Linked DNA regions of Saccharomyces cerevisiae S288C. Each later gene encodes a partner of the first gene's protein in a complex. Each region holds a gene or a part of one and is shown in the gene's direction. Other genes may lie near its edges. The genes, in order: EMC2, EMC5, EMC4 and EMC6.

Region 1 (7,570 bases):
CAAATCCTTATCTTTGTTGTCTCCGTTGGCAGAATTATTATTAAGGGAGTGTTCGCTATCTTCCTCATCAAAGATTTTTCTAGGCGATATTCTCTTAAACTTTCTTTTCTTTTTTATAGGTGACGATGATTGGGTTAGCTGGACATTTGGACGTTTGATTTCTTTTGCAGTTGGTGTCGAAATAACTTCTTTCTTATCTGCTAAAACATCACGATTTATATTGCCCTCTTCTAATGTAGTGCTTCCATTTTCCATGTTGATTTGTTCTTTTTCTTCCACACTATTACGTTTTACATTTTCGCCTTGTGCTCCATCAAGCACACTTATATTATGTTGAATAACAGATATATCTGTCTTCTCATTATAATCGTCAAGTTGAGGACCAGTACTAGATGGAGGTGACTCAAATAAAGGACACTGCCTTTGAGAAGCGGTTTTCGTGTTGATCACTTCTCTTTTCCCATTTTCGCCTAAAGTTGGAGAGACTTCGCAATTTTTCGTGATACTGTCATTGTCATTTTTTATTCTCTCAAATCGATTACGTGTCTGAAAGAAATAACAGTTCCCATTTTGAGAAACCTTATAATGTCGGCTCATCGGATCGTCATTTATTGACCAACCTTGTAACAACTGTTTGCAATAAATACAATAACAGGTATCGTTCATAAGTGTTTTATCCATGCTTGGATCGCCTAAGCCTTCTATGCTGGAGTCGTATCGCATGAGTCCTGCATTCACCATCTTTTCTATACCCAGCGGATGTTCATTTTGAGAACCACTGTGAGGCCAGTTATCTTGAAAAGTAAATTTTCTTAGGTTTATCACGTTTTCATCATCTGGATTGCTGAAGTACTTGTCATTTTTCCAGTCCGAAACCCCCATATGGAAGCTATAGTCCGTCAATAGCTTATTGCGCAAGTAAATAAGGAGGCAAACTTGTTTGTTATCAGTAACAGTCAGATGTTGCCTCATTATATTGCTTAGAGTCTCAAGAACATCTTTTCTTTTGGATCTGCAGTCTCTCACATTGTATGTTTGACGATGACAATAGCAACATCTTACAGAGTCTTTTTTCAGTTTAGATGTCTTAGGATCGATCACTGGATCAAAGTAAAATCCAAGCTTGGCCATTGCCTGATACGGAATAACTTTAAAACTCCACTTTAACTTTTTTTTTTCAAGTGCAACACCATCTTGGAAAGTCCTTAACCTATTCTCCAGTTTGGTCATGCTATATCGCTTCTCCATTTTATCTATTTGACCATCCATAATCCCATGAGGTATAAACAACCGATGTGTCCTCGAATGTTGCACGCCCAGAGAACTTTAGCTAGGCTTTCAACACTAATATGAAACCTCAATCAATCTGAAAGAACTATAGGACACACTATAACTAAAAGTGCTTGATGACCTTGACCGATGTGTGAAATGGGTATGTATTGCAATATTATACTAAACTGTTAATCTTCGTATCGCGTGATGTGTTAGAAGCGTTGACTAGTGAAGTTAAGTAAAGAGATTTGGATCGTTAATGAAATAAATAACTATGTATGAATGAAAGGCATTGGATCGCATTGGAACGGAGAAAATTATAGAAAGCAGTAGATAAAACAATGTTGAAGGATTTGGTTAGAGAAAAGCTTTTGACAATTATGAATACCAAAGCGTATACTCAATTTAATCCAGAACAATTACTGCAACTAGAAAATGAAATGAAAATTTACATGAAAAGCGGAGACTCTGCACTAACAGAAGGAAACTATTTCTTCTTGATGGAAATGCTTTTCTATGTTTTGGTGTACCGAAACCAAGACGTTGATGCGCAAGTTGTTTATAATACATTAAGAGATCGTCTTGGTGAAAATTCGTATAAAATGGTAATCATGAAAGCCACTTTATTGCAGATAAACGGAAATGATAAAGGCGCTATTGAATATCTGGAAAATTTGTTGAATGATGATCTGGAGTATGAAACGGACTTCGTTACTTATGTCTCTATTGCAAAGAAATTGATAGCTATCAAGACAACTTCCAAGAACTTGAGCCAAGAAAGTGTTCTTAAAGAAGTGGTAGCTCTTACAGATAAATTCCCGCTTGATGCAGAATTGTGGTGGTATGCCAGCGAGATTTATTTCGAAATGGGCCAATTTGAAAAAGCCTGTTATTGTTTGGAACAGGTCCTATGTATTACACCATTCAATTACGCTTGTTTTGGTAGGCTAAGTGAGACTCTGTATTATGAGGCTCTACGTAGCAAGAAACAAACCAAGACCGAGCTCTTGGAAAAGGCATTAAAGAATGCTTTGAGGAGCGTTGAACTTAGCGAACTATACCTAAAAGGGTGGGCATTGGTTAACATCATTTCTCGCGAACTGGGACGTAATAAACAAAATGACTTGATCAAACTATCTGCATCGAAGCTAAAGGAAATTTCTGCGAAGTCTAACAATAAAGATAAGATTACCGCTGAATTAATTTTGAATAAGATATGAACGGAGCCAAAATTAGAAGAAAAAAAAAGATAGGGTGAGAGAGGATATGAAAAAGCATGTATATTTTTTTTTTTTTTGGATTCTATTACTATCATTACATAAGCGTACAACAAACACTATTTGAGTTTGACATTTGGCTATTTTTTTGAGCATTTTTCAAACCCTCTATAAAATGATTTGATCCTGCTACGGGGTAGCCCCATAGTTCTGGTAATGTATAATCTTTTGTATTCGAGGTATAGTTTATTATTGTAAGACATGCATTTGAAGCAGTAATTCTTTCACGGCTGAGTTCTTTCCTCAGTTTATTGTTAAGTTCGTTGATTCTTTTTAACTTCAATTGTTTTATCTTTAAGGAAAGCTGTTGCTGTTGCTGTTGCTGTTCCTGAGGTTGTTGTAAGCGTGGAGAGTTTTGAACTGATGTCATTCTTAGAATTATTGAGAACGTTTGCGATTGCTACTATCCTAAAATTGACAGGTGCTGTCACAAAACATTTCTGTTCTCCTTGTTAAATATTGCATCAAACATTTAGAGCCTGAAACAAAAATCAACATGAAAACCGGGTAACAGGGAGACATTCACTCATCACATTGACAAATCATATTATATAGTGAAAAGCGTACGTAAATTTTGACTATAAAGCAAGATTTCAAGAGTTGCAGATGATATTAAGACTGTCATCAAGCCGGAAGAGAAGCTAGTACGAATATTTCTTGTCGTTTTTAATTTCTCTCTTTATACTCGTTCCAAAATTGTACGATGGCTGCAGTAAAACTGGTAATCTAGGATCACTACTGAGCATATTAGCATTAACGAATATTTCACTACCGAAATGCATATACTCTATTAGTTTTTTTTTTGTAAAGGAAAGTTATCAACATTCATTTTGACCCAATAAGTATTCAGAGGTTAATATTTTAGACGTGTCGCGCCCTACGGGGTTGATGAAAAGGTGGTATTTAACGAGAAGGGGGAGCAGATCACATGAAGTTATTAGGTAACAGCGGGAGACAAGACAGAAACGAAGTTTGAGAGAAAGGAACATCAGATCACACTATGGAACATCCAGCATATACATTGAGTCTTTTGACTACAGCCGGTGGCCTTATGGGATACTACCGTAAGGGCTCCATTCCATCTCTAGTATCTGGCTTAGTATTCGGTAGTGTATATGGGATTGCCGGTTACTTGCTACATATGAATAGAGATGGTGGGCTCGAAATGGCATTGGGTGCATCGACCTTACTACTTGGTGCTGGTGTCATAAGAGGCATGCCTTCCAGGTTCACTAAACCTGTCCCTGTCGTTTTGACAGCTTTGGGTGGGCTCGGCAGTTACTACTATTATAACAAATACAAGGAATTTTACCCTTAGAGAAGGAAGAAGACGCACGATATATATACGACCCTATATATATATATAATATGATATTCTTTTATGAACAAACTTTCTTTTTTTTTTCTTCGTTCAATTATTGACTATTTTTCTATCATTTGCTATGGGGAAAGGGCTCCTTCTTACTGAAAACGATGCAGCGGTTGGAGTGAGAAAGATAAGCACGCAAAAGCCCACTTGCTATAGCACTTGCTAGACGGCATTCTAGGGCATCCAACTGCTCCTCTTCGTCCTCATTGGCAGAACTATCGTGTTGTTTTGTTGCCAGAAGAATTTTCAAGGGCATGATACTTTTCCGATCATTCCCCCATTGCCAACATCGTTGTACCAACCGAGTGAAGACCACCTCTCGAAGTAATGTGATGACGACATGCAATCCTTGCGAAAGGAAAAATCTTTCATGGCTTGCTGCGGTAGCCTCGTACAGTGACAGGTTCCCTGAGATTACGCTACGCACTAATGTCGGATAAACTTGACTTAAGCGCTTACTCCTAGTAATTACTCCGGCGATTACTGGATGATCCCAGTGAGGGTACAACCTTTTAGTTAAAAGAGCAAGCGGAACCAGCAGTATCATTATCTTTTCCATTTGGCCCTGTAAGACGAACTTGCCGGTAGATTCCACATATAGCATTGGACATTGCAATAATGCTTCATTTAAATGGAAGAACCCGCGTTCGTGATCGTTTTCCAGACATCCGTAGTATTGACCTAGATAATAATTATACAACACCACTTGAGACTTATGTTCCATTGCCAGGCTTTTATTCAACGGTGGTATATCCCGGGCGTTCACTCTGCTCTCGAGGACTTTCACTAAATTTTTAATCATATCTTTATTACTTAACCGATGGTAGATGGAAAACTCTAGATTAGCAAACATATAACACCCGATTTTTTTATTTTCATTCAATCTTGGGTTCCTATCATTGAGGCATATAGTAAAGCTTCTATGGATAGTGCGTCCACATTCCTCAATTGAGTCTTTATTAAGTTCACTAGATTCGTTTGCCAGACGAATTAATTGTTTAGCCATTACCCACAGCGGATAAATTATCCAATTGGTTTCTCTTTCTACTATTCTGTTGAAAAGTTTCAACTGTTCATTGGCTAATCGCAGCAATTCCTCAGTAGCATTCTTGATCCGCCCTTGCTTCTTCAATGACCTCCGCTTGGAATACTTCAATTTTAGATCTACTCCTAATTGGTAAAACCTTTGTAATCGTACACTCTCTTCATCTGTCGCCGTAGGCCTTTGTAGTATATATTTAGTCTTTTTAGGTGTTTTAACGTCATATCTGATGAAGTCTAACAGTTTGTCGTCATAGCGTTTCTCTTCAAAATAACATCCTATATCAACATCCATGATTGGTTGTAGAAACCGTTGCTGGACCTTTCTGTTCCTGTGTAACTCTCTCCAGACATTCCTTTACATACAATTTTCTTTTTTTTTCCTGACCTTTATCGTTAGCTTTTTCAAAATCAAAAACAATACGATTGAGGAATACTACTAACTAGCCAAAAGCAATACAAAATACATCCATACATACGCCCTAAAGTAATGTCAGAAGACCAGCGTGTAATTAGTCAACCAATTGAATTACATAAGCTGTCGATTGTCGATAAACACTCCCAAGGACAGCAGCAACAGCCGCATCAAAAACAACATGAAGTGCAGCCTGAATCAAAATCACCAAGGGTTACGACACCTTTAAAGCCCAAAAGACTTGCTATACCTATATCAAGTCCGCAAAGATCTACGACAAATCAGTCACCCGTGAGCGACCACGCAAGTCCGATTTCAACAGACCAAGATTTAATATATAAATTAGCTGCAAAACACAGAGAAATCAATGAACTTAGTTTCAAATTAGAGGTCGCCCAAAAAGAATTAAAACAATTAGAGTTACAGTTCAAAGATACACTGCCCCGAAATGGACAACAGAAATTAGGTAACCAGAACCCAAGTGAATACCTCTCTACTTTTACCAAAAGAATTCAACAGACATTTGTGGACGTAAATAATTCACCAAATATGCTCAAGGGAAAAAAGAGTATAAACGATTTTTTTAGTAAGCCCAATAATAATGTTAATAGCAACATAAATAACACTCTACCCAATCGTAAACCGAACCCTCCGCCTAATCGGTCACAACGTATGCAAAATATTGCTCCAAGCCGTAGTTCAGAATCAACTCCAACATCGGGTCCTCCCTTGCTACCCCCAAGGAATACTATGAAGAATGCTAATACCACGGCAACTGCTGGGGAGAACACACCATTCTTACAAAGAATACTTAACAAATTCAATCAAATGAATATGGAAGAGGACGAATTCGATGACCTTTTGGAAAAGAGGAAAAGTAAGAAAGATCACTATTACATAAAAGAAAATTTGGGTTACGAATACGATGAAGTACGCAGTGAAGACGAGGATGATGAAGAGTTTGAACCCATGGGTGACATACCCGTTCATTTATTTAAAAGGTAGCTAATGTCCACTATTGATGCTTTCTCAAGAGACCTTCATATGTAATATTCTCATTAAATACAAAGATTAAACGGCTTCATTTATGCATTCCTTTATTTAGGTAAATTTTTTTTGCCCGATTTTTGGTACTACTGCTTTCCTTTTTTAAATGTAATTGATATTTTTAAAAAAACCTCACATGTAGGCGATTAACCCAGGTCCTTCAACAACTTGCCGACTATGCCATTAAATTAATGATTAAAGGTGTGTAAAGCCACAACGAAAGCAAAGAATATACGTAAGATAAACATCTTTAGAGAACAGCCATTTTCCATCATCTTTCCGTTTGTTACCAACCTACGCCTAGAAGAAAATGACTGATGAGCTGAAAAGTTATGAAGCATTGAAAGCGGAACTAAAAAAGTCCCTCCAAGATAGAAGAGAGCAAGAAGATACCTTTGACAACTTACAACAAGAGATATATGATAAAGAGACCGAGTATTTCTCACACAATAGTAATAACAACCATTCAGGTCATGGGGGAGCCCATGGGTCAAAATCACACTATTCTGGTAACATCATAAAAGGGTTTGATACCTTCTCCAAGTCACACCACAGCCATGCAGATTCTGCATTCAATAACAATGATCGTATTTTTTCATTAAGTAGTGCTACGTACGTGAAGCAGCAGCATGGCCAATCACAAAACGACTAATGCGATAGCACACGTTGGTATTTACGTTGCTTGACCGCTCTAAAACATCTGATTGAAAAGAAAAAGAGAGAAGAAGGAAATGATTTCGACAGGTGACCTTTAAGTTCGATATACCTACATATTGGCTATTTCTTTTATTTTTCATTTTCTATAAAATATCTATATAAGTATTTTTATAACGATTTACTAACAAGGGCAAAATTTCAAAGGTCCCGTGCTCCCAGTCATTTTATTGGCTGGCGAATAAACGGATACAGATAAACAAAACAGAAGCACAGAAAAGGATATCCACCCATCATGATAAGCCCAAGGGTGAATACTCGAGTTTGGCAGAGATCAATTTCTCTTTTGAGCCCACAAGCGGCCAAGACGGAGAGTAATGTCGTAACTAAAGAAAGGACATATATCGAGAACTTAAGCAAGGATATTGCGACTTCCCGTTTCAGGCTAGTAGACGAAAATGGTAAAATTGCATCTATCACTGTTCAACCAGATAT
Region 2 (7,928 bases), on another chromosome or scaffold:
GTAACATGACTGCTGTGCGTCGCTCAACTAGAATAAGGACTAAATCTCAAGTTATTGAGGAAGATTACGATGACGAGCAAAACACCAGCGCACAACACGTAGAATCTGATAAGATCACTGCCAAAACGCAACATGAAGAAGAAGAAGAGCAAGATACTGGTGAAAGTGAAGAAAGTAGTAGTGAGGATGACTATGAAGACCAGGATGATGATGACTACGTAGATACCGCTACGGCAAAGAGAAAGTCTAGAAAGAGAAAGCCCAAATCAGCATCAAATACCAGTAGTAAAAGGCAGAAGAAAAAACCTACTTCTGCCCAGAAGTCGGCGGTATCTCATGCGCCTGCTTATCACCGCTCTAAAAAAGATCAGGATCAATACTTAGAAATTGCGAAGGATTTCCAACCTACAGAATTGTTTGATATATTATCCACTTCAGAAGATGTTTCTATTGAAGAACTATTGCGAGAATGGTTAGAAACCTATTCTGAAAATAGAGATAAATTTTTACAAGAATTTATCAATTTGCTATTGAATTGTTGTGGCTCCGTCGCTCGCGTCGAAGACCACGACGTTCACAGCAATGAATCTTCTAACGAAACGATTGGTGAAATTCAGTTGCTATTTCAAAGACAGAAACTGCACGAATTTTACCTCTTGATTAGCAAGGAAAACAAAAAGAGAAAAAACTTTAAAATGGGTCCCCTTTATCAAAATTTCGCGGAATTCATGACTAAATTGTTGGAAGTGGCAAATGACTTACAATTACTATACGTGGAATCGGACGAAGATGATACCCAAATAGTTACTGGTAATCTTGTGTTGGATTTGTTGACTTGGCTGTCTTCTTTTTCAGTTTGCAAAATCAGATGCTTCAGATACATTTCTACGCTAACGCTATATCTTTTCCAGGACTATTTGACCCAACAGGCTGTTAATTTAGAAAAGAATTATTTGGCGAAGTTATCCAAGCAGTTATCACTAGAAGAGAAGAAAAAAAGGCCCAATAACAAGACTTTAGAAAAGCTAGAGAGCACTATCGCCGAAACTCAAGGCAGCAAAGTCGTTATTGATAGCATTATCGATAACATCGTCAAACTATGTTTTGTGCATAGGTATAAGGACGTGTCTGATTTGATTCGTTCAGAATCCATGTTGCATCTATCCATCTGGATTAAAAACTATCCCGAATATTTCCTCAAGGTTACATTTTTAAAATATTTTGGCTGGCTGCTGAGCGATAACTCTGTATCAGTCAGATTACAAGTTACGAAGATTTTACCGCATTTAATAATCCAAAATCATAACAGTAAATCCACTGATAATTCCGCTATACGCCAAGTATTTGAACGCTTCAAAACTAAGATCCTGGAAGTGGCAATCCGTGACGTTAATCTTGATGTAAGGATCCATAGTATCCAAGTTCTAACGGAGGCGTCATCATTGGGCTATTTAGATGATTCTGAGATTCTTATCATTTCTAGTTTAATGTTCGATGAAGAGTTCGACCCATTTAAAACATCCTCATTCAATAAAAGATCCAAATTTCTATCCACGGTGGCCAAATTCTTAGCAAGAGTAATAAAAGAGAAATTTGACGAATTCATCAAGACGCATGAAGACTTGCCCAAAGAAGTCGACGGGTTAGAAGTTGGACCCGTTGTTCAAGTCGGTATATTTATCAAGATTCTGAATGACTCTTTAATTTATCACTTGAAGGATTGCGCTGAAGTTGATTCAAGGACAAAGATCCGTATGCTAACACAAGCAGCAGAGTTTTTGTCTCCTTACATTTCCACTCACTTGAAAACTATTTGCAATCTGCTGATCTCTGACACTGAATCAAATGAACTGATCCAAAAGTTACAAAACTCGGCCAATAATAACAGCGATGACGAGGATGTTGACGATGAGGAATTGGACATCACTCCATTGTTTCCCATTGACAGAAATAGCACTATTTTATATCTGAACGTATTCCACGGTCTGTGTGCAGGTGCCAACAACCCCAAAATCCAAACTAAGGACAGCGTTAAGGAAATAGTTTTGCCTTTATTCTACGATTTGTTGAATGCCGCATCCATCGAATCTGCTGATATTCTGTGTCCTCTCCTAGAGAGCTTTATCACATTTTCTCTGGATGATTGGATATCTATTGGATATGAAACTGAATTAAAAAAAATTACCGACAAAACTATTAAAGCATTTATGGATTCTACAATCGGGAATTCAAAAGTTGACATGAAGTACGATATATTTGCTAAATTCATTCACCATATCCATCATTTTGAAAAAAAGGAACTGCAGGAAAAATTTTTAAACCAGATAGCTACATTGAAAATTCATTTAAAAAAATTTCTACAGGAAAAAATGGATCCAAATAATTCTAGGGACGACTACAAAGATTTAACTTGTTCTTTGTACGAGCTCTACATCAATAAACTGACAATTCTTGGCAGGGATTACCCAATCGAGGTTGATGAAGAGTTGTTGCAACTGTTTTTGAACAATTTTGTTTCCCGTATCCCTATAATGTTTCAAGATTTTGATGATAGTACCGCTCAAGAAATAAACTTTAAAATGCTAGTGTTATTAGCCACATGGAATCTGGAAAAATGGAGAGAAATAATAGAGAAAGTAAGGGATTACGAGAATTCTATTTCAAAAGATCTTAGATCAGTTTGGAAACCAATTGCCGCTATAATAGGTCGTCTAAACACACTCGTTATTTCATTGGCGGCTACAAACGAAACATTTGAAAACATAAACAGCTTGTTTTACTTAAAATGGTCAGCTTGCACTTCATTAATGGATATAATCGTTGCAATAAAAATATTTGAGCTCAAATTGCCTGCAGACGCTACAACATGGAGATATAGTATGAGTGAACAATTTCCATTTTACCTTCACGATAATGCTTCCAAAGTGCTTTTGAAAATATTTTTATATTTGGAGAGTCTTTTCGCTAAGCAAGTTGACGTCCAATTAGAAAGGGTAGCAGATGAAGACGCCAACCTAAATGATTTGCCGGAAACCGGGTTTTTCGAGAATATTGAAACTGAATTCCTTTTATTCACAGTTAAATTGAAGGGACTAATGAAACTGAATATTTTAGATGAACGATTTGCTTCCCGTGTGGCACTAAACAAAGAAAAGCTTGGCCCGCTGTTCAAAAAAATCGTAGATGATACCATAATGGAAAATCCAGAACCTAATAAAAAGAACATACAGAAAGCAAAATCAAATCAAACACAGAGGGAAAAAGCGCCTTTACAACCCAACAGTGAACGAGAAACCGACCATGCAAATACTGAAAATAATGATCCAGATATTCCCATGACAATCGATCTAGAACCTATTGAAGAAAGTTCGCAAAATAATTCAGAGTTAGCACCAATTGAGGAACACCCAACCGTGGTAGATGCTATAGACAACAGCGACGAAATCACACAAGATTAAGGGAAAAGATATACGTCAGACTTATTGCTCTTTTGTAAAACAATAAGATCTATAATATATATCACATCTTTCTTTTGAACATACATAGCTTCGTTAGCAGTTTTTGATTAATCATAAATACTTCAAATATCCCTTCGCATTAGACTATACTCGCTGGATGATATTCGGCTATGTATTTTCCAAGCCCATTCAATCGTCATCAAAGCGCCCTTTGCTTCTTCGAAAACTCGCGATGTAAACGCAGCGCAGAAAAATCTACTTTTGAATATAAAATAAAGTCAACTCAGATAGTTGTTATGCATGTTAATTGTAGCATCTAAAAAGCGATCGTAATTAAGCCCTACCGAGATACAAAAAAGCAATTATCAAGAGATGTCGTTTGTTTCCAAGCTTCTCTATACAGTCTCTGCATTGGTGTTATTTCATTCTGGTTTCTCAAGCTATGAGTTTCATCACTTATTAAAACTTAACTCGCTTAATAATGCACAAGGTGCAATCAGCAAGTTACCTAAAGATATCATGTATGAAACGTATGCAGGATTGATACTCTTTGTTCTTGCAGTGTTCACTTCGTTCGAGAAATTACAATATTTACCAATTGAGAGTAACGATGGGAAGATAATATCCCAAGGAAACTATCTAAAAGAAATCGCATTAAATAAAGCCACCAACGTGGATAACTTGATAGGAAGTAACCCTAATGGTGAGATCATATTTACTCCAAGCTTTGTTGACGTTCATATGAAGAGAAAAATTTGCAGGGAATGGGCCTCTAACACTGTAAAAAAAGAAAAATAAATAAGATACTGAAAACTAGAGCTAGAACTTATAATTTCATACATATATACATATCAAGATCTAATAAGAGGATTAGCTAGATTTTGAGCATAAATTCGATAGCGAATCTACTCGAACATCGTAACTGCACAAAATAAGGCGTCAGGTGACCAGGCACCTCTTCTATTTACACCAACACAGACGCCTTTCATAGAGGAATAGAAAGCTATATTAGAATCACCAATAATGCAAGCGTCTCCTGTGTTCTATAACGTGAACCATAAGCTTGAGTGGTTTCAAAAGGATTACGGGGCGGATAGTATCTTTTGCGTCTTCGTTGGATAGTTTGTTATTAAGATACATAAATACACACTAAATTTAGTGGTAAAATCTTCTATTCAATATTATCGAGAGTCTCGGTTTGAGGGCTAACACTCTAATGGATAACCGTTCGGAATATTTCTATTCCAGTTTACATAGTATAAGTACGATATTCATCCTCATGTTAGCGTAAGTGGAACTTGTTCAAATCATCCTGAGGTACAGACAAGCCCTTATTGATGATTCATTCTGTTATTTCAGGAACAGGTAATAGTTCTCCACCACTTGAACGCCCATGCTAGTTGTAAGGTGCCGTATAAAGGCAGTTATGATATCATGTATGCGTTTATTATAAGTATTATCGCCTGCAGAAATAACAAAAGTGACACATATTGGTACAGGTACTAAACCGATGCTAACCGTACTAAAACAATTTACCACCCGGCTCGAGTTTTTTATTCTTCACAAACTTTTTCTGCATTTAATTGTGATGAATAACGAATAACTATTTCCTTGATCACCTCAGTAATCGCGAAACGTGCATTTGTGGTAGCAACAGTTTTAATGACAGTAGCATAGCCTATTGCACCTCCACATGAAGAAGCTACCAGTCCACCGCCAGAAATAGACAAAATGGTAACATCGCTTACATTAATTAGCCCTAATACAAAAGGTTGCCATTTGCTAATTTGTTTTGGTCGTCGAAAACCATTTGTGTCGTCGTTAACCTTTCCATTTATTATTCCAGCAATAAGAGCAAACCCCAATGAGACAGTACAAGCTGTAAGGGGAACATGCCCTATTACCAGCCCAAATGACCAATTGACTAACCAATCACCACACACACCCGCAGCTGTGTTGCGTGCGACGTTACCCAATGTTATGGTAATGGCTTGCTATATACTGACTCGTTCAGGTGAATAGAGAAAACCCGTATCACCGTAAACCCATCAGTGACCGTTTTAATTACCACAGCTGTTGCTAGCGAGTAAAAACCCTTTTCACCACTGGTATATAATATGTTCATCGTAAACAACCAATTGGCAACTATCCGGGAGGTCACGGCTGCGCTGCATACTTTTAAAACAGCTTGACGTGGATTAGACCAATTCACCATACGTTTGGAAAACATACTGGCCATTATCCAAGGTGTAAGTATAACGTCAAAGCTGCAATCAACTGTAGAATCTCTTCCTAACACATTTCTATATAACGCAACCAACATTATCATTGGAAATGGCATACAAACAACGCGTCTGAATAACCTTGCATCGTCCATGTTATTGCCTTTTCTACACCACGCAGCACCTCTTTAATGCAGCAGCCGTCACTATTTGCATTGACGCATGTCTTCATCCTTGAATGCCTGGCGATAGTATAGGTAAATTAGTTAAATACAGCTTTGAGTAATTAGGCATGTACTTCCTCTGATTTAGTGACAGGTTCAATTGTTAAAGTATTCCCATTAGGCCAAGTTAAAAAGCGAAATTTATTTTGTTTTACAGATTTCCATTGAGTTTTTATGCCTAAGGGCGTGTTTTTTCAGCTCGTAAAATCATGAAGTTGTAGCACGCTGGCTCACCATGACAATTCCAATGGTGCGGTTCAATCAATTCACTGAGGTAGAATGGTGGACCATGATATTCAGAAATAGGTAAGTCCTGAGGTAATGATTAGGATTTAACTGTTGACTCTATTATAAGGTATACAGAATATACTGGCATAAAACAAGGATCATTAACACGCTAAACAGGGTGTTGTTTAATATCATGAATGCGCAAATAAGCCCTTTTTGCTGCAGCAAACTTTATGTACCAAGATCTTAAAGGGACTCGTTACCAAGATGCGAGTGAGTAGTCTATTATTAGAGAGTAGATCAGCTTCCGCCGCTTCCTTTTTTAACGGGAAAAAAAGTAGAAGCTGGGACAACTTTTTCGCTGCCAATAATAATTAAAAAGAAGGACCCTTTTTTCATTATAGGTATATTTGTTAAATATTTCCATTCCTAAGACAATCAACAACGCAGTTATGCAAACCATCAAAGAGGGCAAATGAACTATTCCCGCTCTTCGTAAGGATGCTGTATTACCGCCGTTAGCCATCAGAATTACTATAAAAACAATGCGGTTAATTTTCATTGCGAAAATGCTTCAATATTCATTTCTACCATTTTCCCCGTTCAATCTTTTGAATTTTGATAATAGTATAAGCGTAAGCTGGTTTATAACATACTCAGTGATCGTTTCCATTTGGGGGTTTGCTGTGTGGATTGAAGGAGCATATAGGAATAAGATTAATCTACAGCTTCCAAGATGTACGAAGATAAAATGCTCCCGCTACAATACGAGAATAAAATCCCCCAAGTGGTTCAACTGTAAAAATTGGATGCATTTTTTCCTATTATACCTTTTTCTAACCGCTTCTAACTTAATTGTTCAATTGGCCTATTTTTCAAAAGAAATGTGTAGTCAGGGTATAAACGTTCCTGGAACGAAGAAACCAGGTAATAGAGTTTATTTATCGGTTATCATACTAATGGGGAACGGGTGATAGAACTTTTACCAATGAAAAGAAATCAGCAGGCCATAATTTGGCTTTATTAAAATTAATAACATTATGGTGCTGTTGCGTTTATTAAAACAGACTAAAGCTGTTGGAATGAAATTCTAATGTTATCTATTTAGTAGTAATAGCATCACATGCGGTGTAAGAGGATGGCGTAAATTATGAGAAGCTGTCATCGAGGTTAGAGGAAGCTGAAATACAAAAATTGATAATGTAATAGGAGAATGAAACATATAAAACGGAATGAGGAATAATCGTAATATTAGTATATAGAAATATAGATTCCATTATGAGGATTCCTAGATCCTCGAGGAGAACTTCTAGTATATTCCGTATACATAATATTATAAGCCTTTATCAACAATGGAACCCCCAACAATTATCTCAAAATTCACCCATATCTTAATTAGTAACATGAATAGTACTAAACAGATGATATTTTAAAGTTTCATTCCAACAAGCATCTTAAATGTGCTATTACTTCCTAAAATAAGTAGTTTTTCCAACGAAATAGCCTTGTTGGCGCAATCGGTAGCGCGTATGACTCTTAATCATAAGGTTAGGGGTTCGAGCCCCCTACAGGGCTATCTTTTTACCATTTTCAATTCAATAGAAAAATTAAATCATTAGAGACGGAAAACTGGTTGAAAACGCATCGATTGAGGACATTGAAAAGATGATTATGACCGATCTATGAAGCCATAAGATTACGTTAAGAATAGTTCTTTGTTACTGATTTCAAAAACTGTTTTTTTAGCCAAGAGTACCACTAATTGAATCAAAGAGACTAGAAGTGTGAAAGTCATG
Region 3 (8,060 bases), on another chromosome or scaffold:
TCGTCATCATCATCATCGTCATCATCATCGTCATTTCTGTCATTTTCCAGGCTGGTATTAGAGTTAAGCGCCATTTCACGTTCGGATAAAACGGGTTCTAATAGTTCCTGAGCATTTTTCCTCATGTCTGAGGAAGCTTTCATAACTCGCACTGAATTTTTATTTGAATCTTTAACACCAAATCTCAAAGTAAAATCATTAACGTCTGGATAGAAATATTTATAGACTTGAATCAGGTAATCGTCGTTGACAGCTTCAAACGAAATTGTGCCTAGAACACCCAAATTCATCAATTTAGACCAGATTTCTTTCCTTGTTAAAGCAGTTAACTTTGTCCTGCCCATTCCAACGCCAGTGGGATTTTCATCAGCGTTGATTAAGTTAGTGTTCTTCAGTTTGTGAAAGAGTTTTCTATGTTGCAAATATAAAATCCATAAATCATAAGCCACAGGCTGTTGCAGCAAGTAGCTCGGGAACAAACAGTTAATGAATTCGCGGTCTACGTCATCCATATATTCAGACATTTCCTCTTAATTATGCTGAAATTCGACGCTTGGCTTTAACGTACTACTAATATTTCTGCTATAACAGTAACAGTTCTGGTCCAATCCTTTGGCTCTTTCTTTTGGTTGATCGATTCATCAGTTCCCTCCCCTGAAAGGCTCGCGCGTCCTGTAATCTAGCAAAAATAGGCAGGATACAAAATACAGTGGAGTGGTAATATTATATTCTTATATGGCTATATATGTTTATATATAAAGGTAAAGACAAACAATAAAGAACATACATATATATATAGATAGATATTGTGTGTGTGTGTGTGTGTGTGTGTGTGTGTGTGTATAGCAAGCGCATGAATTTCATCACAATGTCATGGTAATGGTTGTGGTGATGGTCGAAGTAGAGGTGTAGGATACGTCTTCTTCGTCTTCTTCTTCCTGTTGTCGTAATAGCTCCTGCTGCCTTTGGAACTCTTCTGCTGCAGCTTTTTCACGCTCTTTTCTTTCACGTTCCTTTCTTTCACGTTCCTGAAATTGCAGGTTGGCTTTCGATCTTAGAATATACAAAAACTCACCACTCTCTTGAGTGAACGATAATATCTTCTTTTGCACTTTTTGCCTAAACGCGTTAACACGGGATAAGTCAGCGGAATGGTGAGCCAGCTTGTCTCTAGATTCTATGATCTGTTTCTTGCCCTTCAAAAACTTCTTCCAGTTAACAGAAGACTTTGCTTTCTCTTCATCAAGCGTAGTGTCATCATCTGCACCCATGTGAGCGTTGATAACATCCACATAAGCCATTCTTTTGGACCATTCATTTACAATGATATCACCCCATTCTTCAAATACCTCGACGTTTTCCTCTCTAATTGCATTAACTTTTTTTTCAATTTCATCAGTGATTTCGCTCAAATCTTTCTCCATAGCATTTGTCAGTTCGTCTAACGTCGAGCGCGTCTCGTTGAAGTACTCACGAACTAACTCTCTCGTTATGTACTGAGAAATCTCAGTACTTCCAGATTTATCGAAGAAAATTTTCTTGCCAGTTTCACTATCAATGCCTTCCACACATTCAATATCGTTAATGGCTAGCGAAATCTTGGAGAAGAACTTCTTAGATTTATCATCTAAAGATTGAAACTTGGCTTTAAAATGGTTGGCCTCCTCAACCAATTTACCATTGATGTATTTGGAAACATCCTTTTCAAATAGCTGTATGACGTCTTGTGTTTTCTGCAATATAGTCTCACTCCACATGTCAAAATCCTCTTGCAACAGAGCCTGTTCATTGACATTGACGTCTGTGGAGCCTTCAACGTCTGTGGAAGCCTCATCGTCGTGCGCATGATTAGCAACAGCGCTAGCCTCTTCCTGGTCCAAAGTAATTGTTTCAACCACTGTTTGAGTACTTGTTGTAGTTAGCTCCTCTTCGTCAGACTCCATAGTACTTACGGTTAAAACCATGTCCTCCGAGGAAGGCTCACGTGTGACAGAACCATGAATGCCATGCGTGTCCTTATTCTTGAACTTTCCCATTAATTTTTCCTCTGTATTACCAACAATAAAGTCGTATTTGGATTTGATGCATCTTGAAGTGATAGTAAAGTAATAATGGCCTATATTTTTATACTTTAAAATTCTTTCCTTCAAATGAGAGCGAAACTCCGCAGTAAAGAATTTGTCTAAGTTAGGTTTCACAAAAGCATTGTATTTTGCGAAGAAAAATCGTCTAGTCTTGACCATTGGGGAGCGGACCAATTGGTAATACTTTCCACAGTTCCATTTCTTACATTGTGAATGGATGACCTTGAATGCAGGCTGTATAGCGACCTTGTTCACTTTTACTGTAGCGTCATCGATGACAGGTTTGACAGCCGTGTCATATTTACGCGCCACTATATCGAAACCGGGACTAACTTTATTTTTGTATAATTCACAATTTCTTGAAAAGTAGGTGTTCCAGACTCTTGGATTGGTATAATGGCAAAGCGTTTGCGTGCGTTCACACGATATGCTCCCACTATTGAATTCGCAACAGTACTGAAGCAACGATACCAACACCGTCAGAGTTGTGATTAACTTTATCAGCTTTCCCATTTCGTTACGCTGCGTTCTTGTTTAGATGTAACAGCTTTTGTGCATCCAAGATATAAAGTACTTCAGAAATGGTGGTTGAAACAGAATGCCCATTACGCTTACTTTAAGGCTGTTCTTCAAGTTGATCCTTTCTTTGATACATGATTATCATCATGTACGTAGAAATCCGCCTTATTTCCGAAACCTGACTATCTTAGGGTTATACATAGAAACGTATAGGACATTTCTTACTTTTGAAAATTGTTCCTTGGGCAGTTCAGGGTTTAGTTAGGGTATTGATGCCAGCCCTAAATCCCCTAAATAAGAACTCTCGAGGATAATAACAGACAATAAACCAAGAGTTCATCCACGTATGATGGCTGTTTTTTATTCTGTCGGTTTTTGGTTGCCGTAGTAAATATAATTTGGTAAGCGTGTTGTGCTGTGTTGTGTTGTGTTGTGTTGTGTTGTGTTCTACTAATTGGATTGTGCGAATAAGTGAAACGGTTGCTTCACCCAGCGGGAAAAGGACAACCTGGTATTTGGTGTGAGATAAAGTTATAGACAATCTGGTCTTTTGTTATTAAGTTCTCTTTTCTTCTATACCGTCCAGTTTACTGCTCTCTTGCTTTTCGATAAAGCTAAAATAAAATAAAAATATGTCACTATGGCCCTTTGGAGAGACGCTGAGTCATTCCGGAATTGATTCGATACTTGAAGAGTACTATCTAATTTTTCGTAGTTTGGAGGGAAATGAGACCTCTTCAACTGACGACAAGAAGAATGAGCCTTCTATGGAGTCAGAGTCCGAATTTGGTACCGAGTCTCGGGATAGGAGTGACCTTAACCAGTCATTTATTGATAGGATCTTGTTGGAAACAGCTTTGCTGGATGAACTGAATGGAGCAGCCAACGACAGACTCGTCGACTTCATTTGCTTGGGATATTTCTATGACGACCGTTCCCAGCAGGTCCGCCACATGGACTACCTAGTGGACATGTTGATGGCTTACCTGAAGGACATAGACCGCACTGGTTATAGAACCCCATTTCTTTTAGAGAATTCATTCCATCAAACAGGTGAATATGAAGATCAGGACGATGAAGACCCAATGCTGTATGTCAACATTATTTCCAGTATTTTTTGTTCGAAAAGTGCGCCCATAGTGGAGGCACTCGTGCAAAATACCCCATTTTTGTCCTCTCTGTTCGAGGTTTTCCAGTTTGAAAATATTGAGGCAGAAAATTGTCCTATCTTGGCTGTTTTCCTTAAGATTAACGAAACTCTTCTGTTTGAACAGACATCTAGCTATTTGGAATTTTTCAAATCGCAACCGAACATTGTGGACAAGTTCTTATATCATATTGAAGTCTCACCCTTGGTTGAATTTCTCATTAAAATCATGCTGACTGATCAAGTTGAATCACCTACGAACATTATTGACTTCTTGTATCACCAGGATCTGATACCTAAGTGTTTGAATCTCTTGGAAAATAGCAAATACTCACCTGGTATTCAAAACAGTAGCGGAGAGCTTCTAAAAGCACTGATCAGCATTTCCACCAATTTTAAACTGGATACTTTGTGGATCGGACCTAACCGATTGACAAGACAGCTTGCCTCTCCGCAATATGTCGACCAACTTATTAATATAATCTTATTTCAAAGAGGCCATGCAATGGGAGTTGCCGTATCTATTATAATTGAGTTGATCAGGAAGAATAATTCCGACTATGACGAAGTAGATTTGTTAAGTACCACCATAGTAGACAATCCGCCTTCTCAAAGAGATCCAGTCTATTTGGGCCATTTGTTATATGAGCTCACTATGCATATGGAAGATTTTTATGCATTACTAATTAAACTTGAAAATGATGATGACGATGATCATGACACTGCTTCAAAAGCTCTTCCATCTGTTAAGCATCACCTACTAGAAAACCAATTGCATGAATCATTCAGGCCTTTGGGCTTTGAAAGAGTCAAGATTACAGAATTGATATCGGAAATGTTACACTGTTCAAATATGGGATTGATGAATTCAAAAAGAGGCGAAAAAATAGCACGTACCAGAGATAAATGCAGGGACACTCTTGATCAAAACTCACTAGAGAAAGCCATGAAAAATTTAAATATAAATGATAATACTATTACTTCCAATACATTAGAAGATAAATGTAATAATAATGATAGTAATGACAGTAATGACAACCAAAAACAAAAAAAAAATATTAAAAAAAAGTTTCATGATAATGAATTGTATTCTACTTTTGATACATCTGATGACAATATTGATGATGATGATGATATGAGTTTTGAAATTCCTTACGTCAGTGAAACGCAAAATTTGAAAATACGTAAAAACCCTACCATTGGAGATTTATTCAAAATTAAACTTCATGACCTTGGGTTTTTTCCAAAGTTTCTACAATTATTCTTAAGATATCCTTGGAATAACTTTTGGCACAACATTGTATTTGATATTATTCAGCAGATATTCAATGGTCGAATGGATTTTTCTTATAACTCATTTTTGGTCTATTCTTTGTTTGATTTCAAAAAGTCTACAAGATTTATCCCAAAACCTTTGTACGGCAGCAACCAAAAGTTACCTGTTAAAGACTTCCATATTATCTCTGATTTCATTTTACAAGGCCACAAGGATTCGTTTGAATTTTACGAAAAAGAGAAAACAAATTTAGGTTATATGGGTCAATTAGTATTAATTGCCGAAGAAATTGCGAAGTATTCCAAAATTTATAAGACCGATCTAATTGCTCCAGATATATATGCCTTCTTACAAGATGAAGTTTGGATGTCATATTCTAGTGACATCTTGAACGAAACAAGGACAATGTGTTCAATAATTCTTGGTGGAGGCCAGTTCTGTGCCGAAAGCGATGAAAATACTAACCAGGACTTTTTGGAAAAAGCTGATATGAGTAAACCAGCTCATCCATCCACAATGGATGAGAATGAAATTGTTCACGAGGAGGATGTTAAGTTGCATGATAAAGTTGCCGAGCTCATAGATGAATTGGGTCAATTAACCGAATTAGATATTCATGATAAAATTAAAGATGTTATTGTTGATCATCATTCCGACTTAAATTGATTAGGTTAAGTCGTCAAACCAATTTTGACTTTTTTTTTCCTACATTTTTAATATTTTGTTTCTCGTTTTGCCTTATTTAATTTTGTGACATGTAAAAATTACGAAGCCTATTGGGGGCCAATTGAAGTAAACTAAATATAACAATAGTCCTTTGTAGTTCAGGAATGTTCACCAACTATTCACCAAAAATTATTGTCTAGCTTACTTTCAATAACTTATAGCTATCTATACAAAAATAATCATATAACTAAAGTCAGGCCCAAACCAGGCAAAACAAAACCATAATAATGGGAATTATTACACTATCCGGCAATGTTCTACATTTATTGAAAGCCTACCCAAAAAAGGGCCTTGAAGAGGTTTCTCAACCAGAGCCTAATACAGCAAATGATTCCTCGACTGAATATAAAGGAAAAAGCAAGGATGATTTTCAAATGGTCGAAAAATCCAATACAGATGAGAGATACAATTTTACAAGAACGAAAAAATGGTTTTTATTGATGACCTCAGAATATTACAAACTAATGGAAAACAGACTTTTAATGTTTTGCATTATCGCTTGCTCTTTTATTTGTGCTATCCAATTTCTTTTCTTTATAATTTATTGGACCAACATTGTTCCACGGAAGACGCAAAGGGCAATAACTAACCTAAATTACGATTATTTAACAGCCCATCTAAAAGAGCAATGCGTTCCATATGCGAAAATTCTTGACCAATGTATTCTCTAGCAATCTCTGCTTTTGTACATTCGTAGTTTTTTCATGTTCCTTTCATAAATAATAAAAAAAGCGTATTCTTTTCTATATAAATAGAATGAAAAAAAGTTGAACATAATATCAGTTAAGGTTAAAATAAAGCCAAACGATATAAGCAACAGAAATGAGTGAACAGGAGCCTTACGAATGGGCTAAACACCTATTGGACACCAAGTATATCGAAAAATACAACATTCAGAACTCAAACACATTACCTTCACCACCAGGATTTGAAGGTAATTCCTCTAAAGGAAATGTTACAAGAAAACAACAAGATGCTACATCTCAAACTACTTCTTTGGCACAAAAAAACCAAATAACAGTATTACAAGTACAGAAGGCATGGCAAATTGCGTTACAACCAGCCAAATCTATTCCGATGAATATTTTTATGTCGTATATGTCCGGTACATCCTTACAAATCATTCCTATAATGACTGCCCTCATGCTACTCTCTGGACCCATTAAAGCAATATTTTCAACAAGGAGTGCATTCAAACCAGTGTTGGGTAATAAAGCAACACAAAGTCAAGTGCAAACTGCTATGTTCATGTATATCGTATTCCAAGGCGTCTTAATGTACATTGGATACAGGAAACTAAATTCAATGGGTCTCATTCCTAACGCTAAGGGTGATTGGCTACCCTGGGAACGAATTGCTCATTATAATAATGGATTACAATGGTTTTCCGATTGAGAGCGTATATACTTATATAAAATATCTATTCTGTTTCATATATGATTATTGTTTTACACTCTTATCTTCATCCTTTCGGAATTTCGATTCATAAAGCTGTTGAACGTTGTATTTACGATATTTGGTTTTATAATCCCCATCGACTACACACATTCCGATATTGCTCTTAAAACATTCCACTAGAATCAATTTATCATAGTTCTTCAAGTCCACAGTATGATTAAACTCAGAACCCTCTTTATTGACCAGCTTCACAACTTGATTAATGATGTCCATTCTTTCAATCGTATTGAAATTTCTTCTTGTCACTTCTACAGCAAATTTATAATTTTTTTTAACATTCGAAGGGTCATGAAAGTGTGGCCCAATAACCAAATTGGCCAACTTGATTAATTGCTCCATTTTTGCATTACAAGAGTACGTAATAGGTGTTAATTTCTGAACATATCTAGTACGTTTAACCATATTTTTGGGATCCGCTAAGTCTTTCATGATACTTAGCACAAATTCTTCGGGAACAATTGGCTTTCTTGTTTTACAAAATGTCACGCACTCACAGTTCAAGTCGATGAAGGCTAAGGGGTCTTTCTTCTTTGTCTCCCCTGAAGATAAATCTTTGCCTGTTTCTTCACCTTTCAATTCTTGTAATTCCTTTTTTATCTGGTCTTCAATTGATAGATCTTTCTTTTCGTCATTTTCACTTTCATCTTCTCCTTCTTTGATATCCCCATAGAGTTCTTGAAATTTTTCTTCGAATAAAAGCTGCAACTCTTGGGCTGCTTGACGTTCATGTCTTCTAGAACATGTGGCATATATTCCAGACGTACCAGGGTCTAAGAATCCGGAAGATACTTTAAACTATTACTTTTGATCGTTAGTACTTAAAGAACTCTAATTCGTGTGCAGACAGACA
Region 4 (7,967 bases), on another chromosome or scaffold:
GATACCGACCATATCCAGATAGTGGCACAAATGCATTAAATCCATGTTTTATATCAGTAATATCCGCCTGGCAAGCCGTCTTTTTCCTATTGATTGGTAGCTATCAATTGTGGAAACTTTATAAGAACAATAAAGTACCACCCAGATTTAAGAACTTTCCTACATTACCAAGTAAAATCAACAGTCGACATCTAACGCATTTGACCAATGTTTGCTTTCAGTCCACGCTTATAATTTGTGAACTGGCCTTGGTATCCCAATCTAGCGATAGGGTTTATCCATTTATACTAAAGAAGGCTCTGTACTTGAATCTCCTTTTCAATTTGGGTATTTCTCTCCCTACTCAATACTTAGCTTATTTTAAAAGTACATTTTCAATGGGCAACCAGCTTTTCTATTACATGTTTCAAATTCTTCTACAGCTCTTCTTGATATTGCAGAGGTACTATCATGGTTCTAGTAACGAAAGGCTTACTGTTATTAGCGGACAAACTGCTATGATTTTAGAAGTGCTCCTTCTTTTCAATTCTGTGGCAATTTTTATTTATGATCTATGCATTTTTGAGCCAATTAACGAATTATCTGAATACTACAAGAAAAATGGGTGGTATCCCCCCGTTCATGTACTATCCTATATTACATTTATCTGGATGAACAAACTGATTGTGGAAACTTACCGTAACAAGAAAATCAAAGATCCTAACCAGTTACCATTGCCGCCAGTAGATCTGAATATTAAGTCGATAAGTAAGGAATTTAAGGCTAACTGGGAATTGGAAAAATGGTTGAATAGAAATTCTCTTTGGAGGGCCATTTGGAAGTCATTTGGTAGGACTATTTCTGTGGCTATGCTGTATGAAACGACATCTGATTTACTTTCTGTAGTACAGCCCCAGTTTCTACGGATATTCATAGATGGTTTGAACCCGGAAACATCTTCTAAATATCCTCCTTTAAATGGTGTATTTATTGCTCTAACCCTTTTCGTAATCAGCGTGGTTTCTGTGTTCCTCACCAATCAATTTTATATTGGAATTTTTGAGGCTGGTTTGGGGATAAGAGGCTCTTTAGCTTCTTTAGTGTATCAGAAGTCCTTAAGATTGACGCTAGCAGAGCGTAACGAAAAATCTACTGGTGACATCTTAAATTTGATGTCTGTGGATGTGTTAAGGATCCAGCGGTTTTTCGAAAATGCCCAAACCATTATTGGCGCTCCTATTCAGATTATTGTTGTATTAACTTCCCTGTACTGGTTGCTAGGAAAGGCTGTTATTGGAGGGTTGGTTACTATGGCTATTATGATGCCTATCAATGCCTTCTTATCTAGAAAGGTAAAAAAGCTATCAAAAACTCAAATGAAGTATAAGGACATGAGAATCAAGACTATTACAGAGCTTTTGAATGCTATAAAATCTATTAAATTATACGCCTGGGAGGAACCTATGATGGCAAGATTGAATCATGTTCGTAATGATATGGAGTTGAAAAATTTTCGGAAAATTGGTATAGTGAGCAATCTGATATATTTTGCGTGGAATTGTGTACCTTTAATGGTGACATGTTCCACATTTGGCTTATTTTCTTTATTTAGTGATTCTCCGTTATCTCCTGCCATTGTCTTCCCTTCATTATCTTTATTTAATATTTTGAACAGTGCCATCTATTCCGTTCCATCCATGATAAATACCATTATAGAGACAAGCGTTTCTATGGAAAGATTAAAGTCATTCCTACTTAGTGACGAAATTGATGATTCGTTCATCGAACGTATTGATCCTTCAGCGGATGAAAGAGCGTTACCTGCTATAGAGATGAATAATATTACATTTTTATGGAAATCAAAAGAAGTATTAACATCTAGCCAATCTGGAGATAATTTGAGGACAGATGAAGAGTCTATTATCGGATCTTCTCAAATTGCGTTGAAGAATATCGATCATTTTGAAGCAAAAAGGGGTGATTTAGTTTGTGTTGTTGGTCGGGTAGGAGCTGGTAAATCAACATTTTTGAAGGCAATTCTTGGTCAACTTCCTTGCATGAGTGGTTCTAGGGACTCGATACCACCTAAACTGATCATTAGATCATCGTCTGTAGCCTACTGTTCACAAGAATCCTGGATAATGAACGCATCTGTAAGAGAAAACATTCTATTTGGTCACAAGTTCGACCAAGATTATTATGACCTCACTATTAAAGCATGTCAATTGCTACCCGATTTGAAAATACTACCAGATGGTGATGAAACTTTGGTAGGTGAAAAGGGCATTTCCCTATCAGGCGGTCAGAAGGCCCGTCTTTCATTAGCCAGAGCGGTGTACTCGAGAGCAGATATTTATTTGTTGGATGACATTTTATCTGCTGTTGATGCAGAAGTTAGTAAAAATATTATTGAATATGTTTTGATCGGAAAGACGGCTTTATTAAAAAATAAAACAATTATTTTAACTACCAATACTGTATCAATTTTAAAACATTCGCAGATGATATATGCGCTAGAAAACGGTGAAATTGTTGAACAAGGGAATTATGAGGATGTAATGAACCGTAAGAACAATACTTCAAAACTGAAAAAATTACTAGAGGAATTTGATTCTCCGATTGATAATGGAAATGAAAGCGATGTCCAAACTGAACACCGATCCGAAAGTGAAGTGGATGAACCTCTGCAGCTTAAAGTAACTGAATCAGAAACTGAGGATGAGGTTGTTACTGAGAGTGAATTAGAACTAATCAAAGCCAATTCTAGAAGAGCTTCTCTAGCTACGCTAAGACCTAGACCCTTTGTGGGAGCACAATTGGATTCCGTGAAGAAAACGGCGCAAAAGGCCGAGAAGACAGAGGTGGGAAGAGTCAAAACAAAGATTTATCTTGCGTATATTAAGGCTTGTGGAGTTTTAGGTGTTGTTTTATTTTTCTTGTTTATGATATTAACAAGGGTTTTCGACTTAGCAGAGAATTTTTGGTTAAAGTACTGGTCAGAATCTAATGAAAAAAATGGTTCAAATGAAAGGGTTTGGATGTTTGTTGGTGTGTATTCCTTAATCGGAGTAGCATCGGCCGCATTCAATAATTTACGGAGTATTATGATGCTACTGTATTGTTCTATTAGGGGTTCTAAGAAACTGCATGAAAGCATGGCCAAATCTGTAATTAGAAGTCCTATGACTTTCTTTGAGACTACACCAGTTGGAAGGATCATAAACAGGTTCTCATCTGATATGGATGCAGTGGACAGTAATCTACAGTACATTTTCTCCTTTTTTTTCAAATCAATACTAACCTATTTGGTTACTGTTATATTAGTCGGGTACAATATGCCATGGTTTTTAGTGTTCAATATGTTTTTGGTGGTTATCTATATTTACTATCAAACATTTTACATTGTGCTATCTAGGGAGCTAAAAAGATTGATCAGTATATCTTACTCTCCGATTATGTCCTTAATGAGTGAGAGCTTGAACGGTTATTCTATTATTGATGCATACGATCATTTTGAGAGATTCATCTATCTAAATTATGAAAAAATCCAATACAACGTTGATTTTGTCTTCAACTTTAGATCAACGAATAGATGGTTATCCGTGAGATTGCAAACTATTGGTGCTACAATTGTTTTGGCTACTGCAATCTTAGCACTAGCAACAATGAATACTAAAAGGCAACTAAGTTCGGGTATGGTTGGTCTACTAATGAGCTATTCATTAGAGGTTACAGGTTCATTGACTTGGATTGTAAGGACAACTGTGACGATTGAAACCAACATTGTATCAGTGGAGAGAATTGTTGAGTACTGCGAATTACCACCTGAAGCACAGTCCATTAACCCTGAAAAGAGGCCAGATGAAAATTGGCCATCAAAGGGTGGTATTGAATTCAAAAACTATTCCACAAAATACAGAGAAAATTTGGATCCAGTGCTGAATAATATTAACGTGAAGATTGAGCCATGTGAAAAGGTTGGGATTGTTGGCAGAACAGGTGCAGGGAAGTCTACACTGAGCCTGGCATTATTTAGAATACTAGAACCTACCGAAGGTAAAATTATTATTGACGGCATTGATATATCCGACATAGGTCTGTTCGATTTAAGAAGCCATTTGGCAATTATTCCTCAGGATGCACAAGCTTTTGAAGGTACAGTAAAGACCAATTTGGACCCTTTCAATCGTTATTCAGAAGATGAACTTAAAAGGGCTGTTGAGCAGGCACATTTAAAGCCTCATCTGGAAAAAATGCTGCACAGTAAACCAAGAGGTGATGATTCTAATGAAGAGGATGGCAATGTTAATGATATTCTGGATGTCAAGATTAATGAGAACGGTAGTAACTTGTCAGTGGGGCAAAGACAACTACTATGTTTGGCAAGAGCGCTGCTAAACCGTTCCAAAATATTGGTCCTTGATGAAGCAACGGCTTCTGTGGATATGGAAACCGATAAAATTATCCAAGACACTATAAGAAGAGAATTTAAGGACCGTACCATCTTAACAATTGCACATCGTATCGACACTGTATTGGACAGTGATAAGATAATTGTTCTTGACCAGGGTAGTGTGAGGGAATTCGATTCACCCTCGAAATTGTTATCCGATAAAACGTCTATTTTTTACAGTCTTTGTGAGAAAGGTGGGTATTTGAAATAATGACATTGATTATTATATATGAAGATATAGAACATTTAATGCGCTGCAATATGTACGGTCACGCCAATTCTTTTTCTTTCTATATGCTTTCTAGTAACCCGGGTAATCACAAATGAAGCTAGTAGAGATATAACTAAATACAACTTAATTTTAACCTTATGTTGGATTGCTCAAGCAGTGTTCGAGAAAGACAGCGGCAGACAGATAGAAATGAGCTCAAATGAAGAGGTATTTACTCAGATAAACGCAACTGCGAATGTGGTTGATAATAAGAAGCGTTTACTTTTCGTGCAAGATAGCTCAGCACTTGTTCTAGGGCTTGTTGCAGGATTTTTGCAAATCGAGTCAGTCCATGGGTTTATTTGGTTCCTGATTCTGTACAACTTGATTAATGTCATTTACATTGTTTGGATCTGTCAACTTCAACCAGGAAAGTTCTACCAAAGCCCACTTCATGACATTTTTTTCGAATCGTTTTTTAGAGAGATAACTGGTTTTGTCATGGCATGGACATTTGGATACGCCCTAATCGGATGAACATATAAGAACTACTTCTATAAACGGTTAGAAACAGGCTTGATTTATTATGTACAGTAAATATAATGTTATTTGTGTTTTTTTTTTTTAAATTTTTTTAGTTCCTTCTATGTAAAAAGACATGACAACAGTATTCTCAGTCAAATGATTTCAAATACACAATGTTAAATTCTCTATCTGTTGCAGAAATAAGAAGAGCGTAAGAGCGCAAAGATTTTTGCAGAAAAATAGAGATGAGGTACAAAAAGTAGGTAATGGAAAAAAGCAAATAATGAATATAGGGGAACATAAATGTTATGGACAAGAGTAGATATCAAAATAAAACAAAATAAAATAGAGTAAGTGAAAGACAAATGGAGGAAAAAAAAAAAAAAAAAAAAAAAAAAAAAATAGTAAAAAGTGAAAGGAGAACGATGATAACACTAATCACACCTCCGCATTTTCAACCAATGCTGCAAGTTTCTCAACACTGGCTAAATGTCTATTTCCTAGGGAGTTAGATTTGTTTAGTTTATCCAAATATGCTCTAATGGCAATGACGATCAATTTCTTACCCTCACCCTCAGAGACATTAACTAATTTTTGAATCACATAGTTGGCAAATTGATCCTTGATCATTAAAATCATTGGAGAATCGTCTTCCAGATTCAAAGCATGATTTTTGTCTCTTGGTAAAATCTTAGAAATTATTAAATCCTTCTGATTTTTAGAGCCATAAAGAATAGATTTTTCGACCACGTTGGAGGCAAATTTATGTTTAGAGTATTCGACAACATTATTGGCCACAGTTTCTATGATTTCCTGTTTGATATCGACCATTTCCTTATTGGTGAACTGATCTTGTTGCAAAACATATTGAATGACATAGTTACCATATTGGTCTTGAATTAGATATGGTATGAAATCTTTCAATTCGTTTAAAATGCTTTCCTGATCTTCGCTCGAACCAAATTCTAACAATCTTTGAATGACCCTACAGCCGTAGGAGTGGGTAGATAGATGGTAAATGTGGCCAGTTAAAGAACTTAAGATAAAAGGTAATTTTTCGATAGGAATTGTTTCGATGGCCTTTTGAATTACGTGATTACCGTTCTGATCTTTGATCATTTGCAAAACGGAGTCAGATAATTCCAGGACTAACTCAATTCTTTGATTGGAATCAATATATTCTAACGCCTTTTGAATTACACGACATGCGTACATTTGTAGAGATAACTGTTTCATGTTACCTTTAAATTGATCAACCAAAGTATTTTTTTGAATTTTGCTACCAAATTCAAAAAACTTCTGAATGACGTAATTACCAAATACATCGTTCGAAAGCTCAATGGCGTCATCGCGAATTTCATTGAATATGACCTCCTTTTCTGAGGCTGGTGAGGTGGCCAACTCGCGCTGAATGAACCGTGAACCATGTTGATCTTTGCAAAACTCTAAGGAATGGCCAAAGATGTCTTTTAGTGACATGTTCGAGTTTGAATTTTTGTCAGAACTACTGTTTCTTAGTTGCTCTAACAACGGCGATCGATGATACGTTTGCTGCTGTTGCTGTAGACTTTGAGAATGAGGATGAGAATGAGAGTGAGATTTATGGTTGTTGGCCGTTGACTCATTAGATTTGGAAGAAGCATTCTTTTTAGAGGTATTCTTTGTGGGTATAGAATTTTCTAGATAAGGATTTGCCTGTTTGTTGGCGTTGTTGGAGTTATTTGCAGGATGATTCTTGTTATTTCTTTTCTTGAAGGTTTTTTCGTCCTTGGGCATTTTGACAGGTATAGGATTTGGAGTAGGGTAGTAAATATAAGGATTCTCCTGTTGCTGTTGCTGTTGTTGGTCTTCTTGTTGTTGTTGTTGTTGCTGTTGCTGTTGTTGCTGGGGAGCAGAGAGTGGTGGAGGTGGCATAAACATCATTGGGTTGGGGTAGGCAAACGGGAACGGAGAATTGTTTGGAGGGGACGAAGGTGAAGAAACAGAAGAAGGTCTGTTTGCCTTCTTCTTTTTCTTACCATTTGAGTCTTCGGTGTCTTCATTTGCTGGAATCTGTACTGAAATCATCTGGGAGATGAAATTTGAAGGAGATCCGATCAAGTAGTTGGGGAAGTTTTGGTAATGAGGGCCCTGATGAAACTGATTGGGTGGGAAGCCGTTCATGTAGGGGGGGAAATTGTTATTTGCAGGCCCATCTTGTTGGTTAGGAAGCGCGACATTTGTGGCCCCAACAGCGGCTGGATTGTTACTAGGTCTAAATACTGGTGTGTTGGCTACGTTCCAGATATTTCTCTTGGGGTAATGAGCATTTTCGGACTCTAAAGACGCAGATGAGCCTGAATTTGAACTGGAGTGGTAAAGCGAACCACTGTTAGTAGTGTTCCTATTCAATTTGTTGAAGTTTTTGTCAGACTCGACATTTTGCTCGAAAGTATTCTGTGTGTCTAAGCTGGCGTTAGAGACGCTTTTTGATATGAATTGGGACTGAGTATTGACAGCGTCGGGTCTATCTTGAGATTCCAGTTCCCTTGTACCGTCAATCAAAGATTTTCCGAACTTCTCAAAAAACCCTTCCCCACCAGAGTTGTTGTTGTCATTGCCATTGTAGTAAACGGGACCAGCAATGGAAGCTGAATACTGGCCCAGAAGATGGTTGACCTTGTTGTTTTTCCCGAGATTAGCCGCAGTATGATGAGTATGATAGTTATTGTACGATGCGGATGACAGGGAGGCAGTGTCGGTTGATCTGTACTGGTAATAATTGCCGCCGTTACCAAAAAACTTTTTCGAGTTCGTGGA

Evidence for each region.
Region 2: the proteins of EMC2 (region 1) and EMC5 are in contact, whole or in part, in a cryo-EM structure (PDB 6WB9), measured with the Saccharomyces cerevisiae proteins. Residues at the interface, in NP_012621.1 of Saccharomyces cerevisiae: Met1 (codon at 1,614), Leu5 (codon at 1,626), Val6 (codon at 1,629), Lys9 (codon at 1,638), Thr12 (codon at 1,647), Ile13 (codon at 1,650), Asn15 (codon at 1,656), Thr16 (codon at 1,659), Lys17 (codon at 1,662), Ala18 (codon at 1,665), Tyr19 (codon at 1,668), Thr20 (codon at 1,671), Gln21 (codon at 1,674), Phe22 (codon at 1,677), Pro24 (codon at 1,683), Glu25 (codon at 1,686), Gln26 (codon at 1,689), Leu27 (codon at 1,692), Leu28 (codon at 1,695), Gln29 (codon at 1,698), Glu33 (codon at 1,710), Val62 (codon at 1,797), Tyr63 (codon at 1,800), Arg64 (codon at 1,803), Asn65 (codon at 1,806), Asp67 (codon at 1,812), Gln97 (codon at 1,902), Ile98 (codon at 1,905), Asp102 (codon at 1,917), Lys131 (codon at 2,004); in NP_012237.1 of Saccharomyces cerevisiae: Glu69 (codon at 4,035), Gln72 (codon at 4,044), Tyr73 (codon at 4,047), Leu74 (codon at 4,050), Pro75 (codon at 4,053), Ile76 (codon at 4,056), Glu77 (codon at 4,059), Asn79 (codon at 4,065), Lys82 (codon at 4,074), Ile83 (codon at 4,077), Leu95 (codon at 4,113), Asn96 (codon at 4,116), Lys97 (codon at 4,119), Thr99 (codon at 4,125), Asn100 (codon at 4,128), Asp102 (codon at 4,134), Asn103 (codon at 4,137), Leu104 (codon at 4,140), Ile105 (codon at 4,143), Gly106 (codon at 4,146), Ser107 (codon at 4,149), Asn108 (codon at 4,152), Pro109 (codon at 4,155), Asn110 (codon at 4,158), Gly111 (codon at 4,161), Glu112 (codon at 4,164), Ile113 (codon at 4,167), Ile114 (codon at 4,170), Phe115 (codon at 4,173), Thr116 (codon at 4,176).
Region 3: the proteins of EMC2 (region 1) and EMC4 are in contact, whole or in part, in a cryo-EM structure (PDB 6WB9), measured with the Saccharomyces cerevisiae proteins. Residues at the interface, in NP_012621.1 of Saccharomyces cerevisiae: Glu146 (codon at 2,049), Leu149 (codon at 2,058), Lys150 (codon at 2,061), Val153 (codon at 2,070), Thr156 (codon at 2,079), Asp157 (codon at 2,082), Trp166 (codon at 2,109), Tyr173 (codon at 2,130), Phe174 (codon at 2,133), Glu175 (codon at 2,136), Met176 (codon at 2,139), Gly177 (codon at 2,142), Gln178 (codon at 2,145), Phe179 (codon at 2,148), Glu180 (codon at 2,151), Lys181 (codon at 2,154), Tyr184 (codon at 2,163), Cys185 (codon at 2,166), Glu205 (codon at 2,226), Tyr208 (codon at 2,235), Tyr209 (codon at 2,238), Leu212 (codon at 2,247), Arg213 (codon at 2,250), Leu241 (codon at 2,334), Lys242 (codon at 2,337), Ala245 (codon at 2,346), Leu246 (codon at 2,349), Ile249 (codon at 2,358), Glu253 (codon at 2,370), Lys280 (codon at 2,451); in NP_011283.1 of Saccharomyces cerevisiae: Gln4 (codon at 6,584), Glu5 (codon at 6,587), Pro6 (codon at 6,590), Tyr7 (codon at 6,593), Trp9 (codon at 6,599), Ala10 (codon at 6,602), Lys11 (codon at 6,605), His12 (codon at 6,608), Leu13 (codon at 6,611), Leu14 (codon at 6,614), Thr16 (codon at 6,620), Tyr18 (codon at 6,626), Ile19 (codon at 6,629), Glu20 (codon at 6,632), Tyr22 (codon at 6,638), Asn23 (codon at 6,641), Ile24 (codon at 6,644), Gln25 (codon at 6,647), Ser27 (codon at 6,653), Thr29 (codon at 6,659), Leu30 (codon at 6,662), Pro31 (codon at 6,665), Ser32 (codon at 6,668), Pro33 (codon at 6,671), Pro34 (codon at 6,674), Gly35 (codon at 6,677), Phe36 (codon at 6,680).
Region 4: EMC2 (region 1) and EMC6 share a complex: the UniProt entries of both Saccharomyces cerevisiae proteins name them as parts of the ER membrane protein complex.

Annotation. Positions count from the first base shown.
Region 1 is NC_001142.9:581,417-588,986, reverse strand, and holds EMC2 (Emc2p), read left to right. Parts: upstream 1-1,613; coding exon 1,614-2,492; downstream 2,493-7,570. Other genes in the region: BIR1 (survivin), read right to left, coding at 1-1,269; STE18 (Ste18p), read right to left, coding at 2,587-2,919; TMH11 (Tmh11p), read left to right, coding at 3,550-3,867; YJR084W (uncharacterized protein), read right to left, coding at 3,983-5,254; ACF4 (Acf4p), read left to right, coding at 5,450-6,379; EAF6 (Eaf6p), read left to right, coding at 6,732-7,073; AIM24 (Aim24p), read left to right, coding at 7,371-7,570. UniProt on the Saccharomyces cerevisiae protein: Part of the endoplasmic reticulum membrane protein complex (EMC) that enables the energy-independent insertion into endoplasmic reticulum membranes of newly synthesized membrane proteins.
Region 2 is NC_001141.2:300,007-307,934, reverse strand, and holds EMC5 (Emc5p), read left to right. Parts: upstream 1-3,830; coding exon 3,831-4,256; downstream 4,257-7,928. Other genes in the region: cohesin subunit IRR1, read left to right, coding at 6-3,458; EMA17 (Ema17p), read left to right, coding at 6,678-7,106; E3 ubiquitin-protein ligase SSM4, read left to right, coding at 7,926-7,928. UniProt on the Saccharomyces cerevisiae protein: Part of the endoplasmic reticulum membrane protein complex (EMC) that enables the energy-independent insertion into endoplasmic reticulum membranes of newly synthesized membrane proteins.
Region 3 is NC_001139.9:62,135-70,194, reverse strand, and holds EMC4 (chaperone EMC4), read left to right. Parts: upstream 1-6,574; coding exon 6,575-7,147; downstream 7,148-8,060. Other genes in the region: glucose-induced degradation complex subunit VID30, read right to left, coding at 1-524; SHE10 (She10p), read right to left, coding at 864-2,597; SAP4 (Sap4p), read left to right, coding at 3,236-5,692; YGL230C (uncharacterized protein), read left to right, coding at 5,980-6,423; TAN1 (putative tRNA acetyltransferase), read right to left, coding at 7,193-8,005. UniProt on the Saccharomyces cerevisiae protein: Part of the endoplasmic reticulum membrane protein complex (EMC) that enables the energy-independent insertion into endoplasmic reticulum membranes of newly synthesized membrane proteins.
Region 4 is NC_001144.5:116,469-124,435, forward strand, and holds EMC6 (Emc6p), read left to right. Parts: upstream 1-4,853; coding exon 4,854-5,180; downstream 5,181-7,967. Other genes in the region: ATP-binding cassette bilirubin transporter BPT1, read left to right, coding at 1-4,643; mRNA-binding protein PUF3, read right to left, coding at 5,607-7,967. UniProt on the Saccharomyces cerevisiae protein: Part of the endoplasmic reticulum membrane protein complex (EMC) that enables the energy-independent insertion into endoplasmic reticulum membranes of newly synthesized membrane proteins.